2 linked regions of the Danio rerio genome follow. The protein of the gene in region 2 purifies or fractionates together with the protein of the main gene of each other region. This does not show direct contact. Links are inferred from orthologs where the notes say so. Each region holds a gene or a part of one and is shown on either strand. Other genes may lie near its edges.

Region 1 (3,488 bases), on a different chromosome or scaffold from region 2:
GTCTAGAAATGAACAAACAATCTCAAAAAAAAAAAAAGTCTCATTATTCTGGCATTTAGCTAGTGTAAATCATTTAGGTAATCCTAACGGACCTAAAATAGTAAACATTTAGTATGATTTACCTTTTTTTTTTTTTAAATGGTTATGTTCCTTTTTTTAAGAGTGTATGTAAACTTCTGGTTTCAACTGTATATTTACCAAGGCAAAGACACATTTCTCCAAGACACATTACACCAAGGCAAAGACACATTTACCATAAAATTATCATGGAATATGAAAAATAAAAGCAACAAATTATTCAGTTCTGTAGTATTTATTGTTAGTATTTATAGTAATCATTCTAATAGCAATCATATTTCAATGATTGATGATTTCAAGCTACGAATATCACACATCGACAGATCAAAACCGAGATGTGATCACAAACTGAGCAGTTGCGTTTAATATACTTTATATTTATATTAAAATAATACTTATATAATACTTCTATATATATATATATAATATAGGCGTAGCAACAGTAACTAAGGAGGGCGGGGCTTAGCGAAGGGTCAAATGTATAACTGTTAAGAAAACGCCTATTGGGAAAAAGTGGAGTGTTCCCTTAACTTTTGGAACTGAATTGAACCACTAGTGAACATCAACAAACCTTAATATCGGCTCCTGAAAGGTCGTCTTTGGCCAGGATAAGGTCGTCCAAGCTCACGTCCTCGGCCACAGTCATTCTGCTGGTATGGATCTGGAAAATCCTCCTCTTGGTTTTCTCATCTGGTAAGGGGAACTCAATCTTACGGTCAATTCGACCTTAGAGAGAAAGCAGAGAGAAACGCAGCTTTAGGCACATCTACAATTCACATGAGCTCTAAAGGCTGGGACACACAAAGTCTATAGTCATTAGGTCATTAGGTCCATATGTCGAGTCTCATCAGGTTAACATTGGATCGAGTTCAATACGTCAAATTGGCATTAGTCATTGGATGAAAAGAGCACTCTGACTTGTTTTCAGCAACAAATCAGATTGTAAGTTTAAAAACAGAAGTGACATAGCCAGTGACTTCCGCTACATTTCTCAAATATGTCATACCGGGTCTAATAAGCGCAGGGTCGAGGGTCTCTATTCTGTTAGTGGCCATGATGACCTTCACGTCTCCACGCGAGTCGAAGCCATCCAGCTGATTGAGCAGCTCCAGCATCGTCCTCTGAATCTCACGTTCACCTCCTGAGTTTGAGTCGTATCTGCAAACACAGACGCAGTCAGGGAATGTCAATGACAAATATATCTATGCAGCATTGATATCGCTGAAATCACATCGCTTTTCCTGCAATCACATCAGAAAAAAAGAGGTTACCTCTTTCAATTTTTTTATGAATACTGTCCTCTGTGTTTTCACCTACTAATAGCACGTGAATTCATACTCCACTCTAATAATTTCACTTTATACAAAATTATTTGGGTAAAAAACACTGGAACTCTGAGACATGCAAATGTTTTGAATCTGCCTGTTTGAAAATATTTTGGTTGACAAAACAGAAAATAAATTGTGTCTAAAATGTAACTCAATACTGTCACTGAAAGTAAATGGGTCACAGGATGTTTAGTGTTGATTTTAGTGGAGCAGGCTCATGTAATCTGTGGAGTCACTGCAAAGTTTAACCATAATAGAGTGTTTGTTGATTATAAGATGATTATTTGCATGTGTTTTAAGAGAGGTTAATACATTGCCACACTCGAAACTATAATGTTTGTAAATTTGACAAAGATTAACTATATTACTCAATTAATGAAGACTATACAGTGTGATTTAACAACTGATTAGTCAAATGTTGTACCAGAATACTGTAATGCTGTGTTCACACCAGATGTGGAACGTGCGGATAAATCACGATATTCGCGGGTAAAAAGACGCATGAACATTTGAGTTTACTCGCCTCATTCGCGTGTCAAATCCGCTTCATTCATGTGTCAAATTCACTTTTAGTCTGCCTGGTGACTGTAGCTTTGTTGCTAAATGGCTAACATGAATTTTATTGAGAAAATTACTGTGTTTATGTGCTTTATAAATGCTGAAAAACAGCGTTAATTTGTTTGGAGCAGTGTTTGAGTCCACTAGATGCTTTCAGTGGTGCACCCAGCTCTGTGAGCTCATAAACTCCTCCAGAAACGTAGCCTGGATGATTTAGCGGTGCTTCTGACTGCGCTGAGCCCAGTTTGATGAACTGTTGTCGGAGTAGGCAGGAGGATTTTCCGCTGGGACACTAACAACAGGCACTATGTCATAATCACATCCCCATAAGAGCAAGCTCTTGATTGGTTAACGCGGCGGGAATGCCTGCTGAAGTTAAGATTTTCAAATCGAGCGATTCGCGCGTTAAGTGAGTCAAATTCGGAAAACGCTCAATTGGCTTCATGTGTATCGCATCATTCACGCCGCCCCATTGCGCCGCGCCATTTGCACGTATTATGCTGCATAATGTTTATTCGCGTCTTTGCCTTCTTCCGAGTCTGGTGTGAACGCAGCATTAGACTCCTCCAAAAAACAAGAAAGCTCTGTTGATTTTATGTTACTTTGCTTTATTGTATTTATCTATGCTTATAATTAGTTATATATTTAGATGTACTAGCATCAAGCATGCTAACAATATAATTCAATTGCTAAAATTTACTGAAATCCTTCCTTATTTGCACTTTACCTGCTATGTGTCCTTTGTGTCCTTAGTATTTTCCAGAGGTGTGGACTCGAGTCATGTGACTTGGACTCGAGTCAGACTCGAGTCATGATTTTGATGACTTCAGACTCGACTTGACAAAATATGAAAAGACTTGCAACTCGACTTGGACTTGAACATAAATGACTCGGACTTTCACTTGGACTTGCGCCTATTGACTTGTAAAGACTTGCTACTTTCTATAAAAAGCCCAAAGATAAAAAGTATGTTGACACGGAGCGCTCTATCTCTGTGTGTGTGCGTGTGTGACAGAGCGCTCTATCTCTGTGTGTGTGCGTGTGTGACAAGAGAGCATGCACGCATACTTTCGACCACTAGCGCTTTGTGGCGCACTTCCGTGTTTTTGCACCAGCGGGAAATTTGAAGATGCCATTTTCATTCTGACTCGGAGAGTGAAATAAACACATCCGCGATCTGCTTCTTTTGTTTTATTCAGCGGATTTACAACATCTGTCAAAGGTAAGAGACTTTACTACTCGCAATGTGTTACTGTTGTGCAAAAGCATTGTTTTACTGTTGTGCATAAGTCAATGAACTTCAGTTTTTTTAACCAAACTTACCCTCTCGTGATTTATTTCACATAATTATGAATGAACATGGCTGTAATTTATGTTTTTGCACTTGGTCGTTTGTGTCAATGCGCATATTATGTTTTATTTTTGTGTTTTGCCCATCCTCTGACAGTATTTTCTAACTATTTAATTAGTAGTAATAATAATTACATGCCATAATAACTAGATATATATAATTTATTTTTAAAG
Region 2 (3,760 bases):
GCTCCCTGTGCTGGGGAGACCACTCAATGTTCGATGCCAATAGTGGGTCGTCGAGTAAATAAATATAATGAATGAGAACACACAGGCATGTGCGTATAGACATATAATGTTCTGCTGTACAGTAACGTGTCATTTGTTTGTTTCGGTTGTCTTCATTTTAATAGTTCGTGATGATGTGTGATGGTGTGCTTTATCTGCCTTATTCCCGCTGAAGTGGGTGGGTTGTGTGACGTTTGATTTGGGGGATGTTCTGGGGGCGACGGTTACATGACGCGCTGCGAGCTACTAGCCTGACAGTGGAAACGCGACATGATTTAGGCCTCACTGCTCAACCTCCCGGACGATAGGCCGGCTTGATAAAAGCCCAGGGTCGCACTGGCCCGACAGTGGAAATGTGGCTATTGCAATATCAATGTTATGTAAAATAATGACCTATTTGACAGTGTTTTTTACTGAACATATCATATACCCAAGCATACCAAAACTGAAAACCAAACCAAAATCTGTATTTTTGCTCCGCTAGTCTTTACACTTAATTCCGAGCAGACCCAGACCTGCTTTAGTGCTACCTTGAATCTCTGTGTAAAGATGACTCAAGATCTTTTTTTTTAATTTTGTTTCCACTTTTCGAATTTTCCTAATGGGTATTAGACATTGCTACTGTTTTCAGTGGCACTCACCTTTCAGTTTCAACCCCAGGAGCTTTTGTCTTTCTGGCAGGACTCCTGTGAGCGATTTAATGGACTGTTTCAGATCCAGCACAGTGTCTTCCTCGGACAGCGTATTAATGGAGTACTCCTGCCCTCCCCACTTGATAATAACCGAAACTGACATGCTGGTGGACGAGCTGTGAAGGACAGTTTTCAGTTATTTGCACGTCAGCATGTCATAAACCACAAACCACCCTTGTGCACAATACATACATCGATATATACAGTTGAAGTCAGAATTATTTATATTGCAATGTATGATAATTTTGCAAATATTTGGTTCAAATGGTCTCATTTAACAGATTTTCCTTACATGCTTATTGAGATTTGGACACAAACTATGTACATTATTAAAATTTTACTGCTGGTTGAATTGAACTTGTTGAAGTAAATGTGAATATGTACATACTTCTCCCCTCTCTGTTGTAGTTTTACAAAAAAAAAAAAAAAAAGTTATTGAAAGAACAATTGCCAGTAAAGTCACTTAAGTTACCCAAACTATTTTCTGCTGTTCTTACGCTATTGTACAATACAATTGGTTGAGACAGAATTATTTGTAGTATTTTCGTAGCAATTTAAACTCCCCCTTCAATACACAACAAGTAACAAAAAGCTTTGGCTGCATATACTCTGTGTAAGAATGACTGAGTGTGTTTCTAATGCTCGGCCATACACACAACAACCACAGATTTATTTCAACAGCTGATGTGTGACACGATAAACGTGCTGATTTGCATTATCACTAGTATGCTTGAAATATAAACATCATGTCTGTTGTCCTAAGATCAATTATGTCAGGTTTCCACTTTTTTTTTCTTATACTTGAATGTTAAAAGGGCCCTCCTATGAATTGTCAGTCACTGAAATAGCCCCCCACCAATTTGAGTTTGAGACCCCTGCTCTAGGGACATCAGAGACTTATTTTAAATCTTGTAAAAAGTGGCATAACAGAAATTCAATAATCAAATAAAATGGCATAGACTTTATTGTATAAATAAGTAAACAATTAATCCTTGTTAACGTTGCAAACTTTATCATTTTTGCGTCTAAATGGTTTAAATACACTTGAAATAGCTCGGGATCCTTGGATGTGGACTATTTTAGTTTTGCACATTGAGATATCGATGAATGAATCAATATATTGTGCAGCCCTAATAATAAATGCTGCTGATATGGTATTAAAACATAATAAATACACACACTCACACTCACACACACACACACACACACACATATATATATATATATATATATATATATATATATATATATATATATATATATATATATATATATATATATATATGAAAATAAATGTATAGACTACCTTGGCAACACTACACCAACTTAAGCAACAGTAGAGGTCAACTGGTGGTCAATACACAAGACAAATGGGTCAGGTGCTACATATCTATACAAAAAAAAGCAAAAAAAACAACCTCATTTAAAAGCCTTTCATAAACAACTGTGTAGACTGTATAATATTACATTTGCAAATCTTTTCTGTCTACAAGTGTAAATAAAATAATTTATTTGTTTTTACCGAACATATTTTGTTAGAGATCTTGATGGATGGATGTGGAATGTTGATGCTTGAACAAGCATGTATGTATTAGCTACTTAGCTTTTTGAACTCATTAAGTTATTTTGCATGCTTAATGCATTAATTGGGTGTGATCTAGCTGTCGTAACGACGCTGTTAATTTCTCTAATCATTTAATCCTGAAACAATCTAAACCACGCTGAGAAGAAGAATAGGGAAAGGTTTCTCACTTACATAATAGGCAGTTCATTCAAAGCTCAGGCTGACTGCTTTGGGTACCACAAGATTTGCTTTGTTCTTCTTCTATCTGTTTATGACGGCCTGTTTACTGTGCTTACTGCCACCTCCCGGTTAAGAGTTTGTCGTGTAGTACTTTTTTATTTCTCCTTCAATGCAGTTGTTTTGTTTTCCTAAGTACTTATCATTGACAGGGTGCGGTTTTGTTTTTGTCGTGTTTTGAACTGAATATACAATTTGTGCAACTTAATAAATCGATTTTATTAGTTTCATTGTAAGCGGCGTCACCGAGTTCCTCATCCGACTCTGTGAATCGGTTCATTCAAACTGTTGATTTAAAGGAGCCAATTTCAAAATGACTCTGTTTAGTTTGTGTGCAACAGAATAGTGCTCGGCTTTGGGTTCATGAGTTTTTTTTATTTCTTAAGTTGCACAGATGTATTTCTAGGAATAGCCAACAATACATTTGAGTCAAAATTATAGATATTTTTTATTGTCAAAAATCAATAGATATTAAAATTGTAGTTACAAAAAAGTTTTGTAGTCCTGTAGGCTCACATGAAAAGAACTTACAATGATGTAATGTTACAGCAGTGACAAGATATTAGTGTTAATAATGTACATAAAAAAACAACAATACTAATACAACAACAATTGAGGAGTATCTAAAATGTTTTCAATTCTGCATATCTTGTTTTCATGAAAACAGATGCAAGACTAATAGACAGTGAAATCAAATAATAATAATCCCCCCCCCCACACACACACCACCCCTTATACATATAATATACTATATACTAATAACTCGCTTTAAGTATACAAAAATAAGAATAATTCATTATTTACATTAATTTTCAATATAACCAGCTTGTAATTATCAATTGTTATTTTATACCAGTGAATCAAATTTAAAATTACAAAAGAGCATTGTGGTGAGTCATCTTTAAAATTGTTATTATTATTTTTTATCTTTTTGGAGAGAGAAAGGAAAAAAAGTGTTTGTTGACTAGATTTTATTAGTAGAAAAATATGCCAATGTCTCTATTACACAACCGGTGAATCACATACAACTGTAAGCTGTTATATTAACCCACAAAAAAAGACCCCCCCCCCCCCCCCCCCCAAAAAAAAAAAAAAAAAAAAAAAAGATAAACGTACAAAAAGACAAAGGCACAAAACAGTGGTGGAAAGAGTACTGTAAAATCATACACAGGTAAAAGTTTCTCAGGTACCATTTCTTGCCCCAAAATATAGTGCAAATACAGTAAAA

Evidence for each region.
Region 1: the proteins of ublcp1 (region 2) and psmc1b purify together in Homo sapiens (affinity purification with mass spectrometry; 3 studies listed by BioGRID and IntAct, with this or other methods). This does not show direct contact. The link is inferred for Danio rerio from reciprocal best matches to the Homo sapiens genes UBLCP1 and PSMC1.

The regions. Positions count from the first base shown.
Region 1 is NC_133195.1:17,954,706-17,958,193, reverse strand, and holds part of psmc1b (proteasome 26S subunit, ATPase 1b), read right to left. Parts: intron 1,237-3,488; coding exon 1,085-1,236; intron 805-1,084; coding exon 650-804; intron 1-649.
Region 2 is NC_133196.1:39,013,859-39,017,618, forward strand, and holds the start of ublcp1 (ubiquitin-like domain-containing CTD phosphatase 1), read right to left. Parts: upstream 2,552-3,760; 5' UTR 2,488-2,551; exon of another isoform or gene 2,254-2,487; intron 2,122-2,253; exon of another isoform or gene 2,038-2,121; intron 848-2,037; 5' UTR 835-847; coding exon 681-834; intron 1-680. UniProt on the Homo sapiens protein: Dephosphorylates 26S nuclear proteasomes, thereby decreasing their proteolytic activity. Recruited to the 19S regulatory particle of the 26S proteasome through its interaction with 19S component PSMD2/RPN1.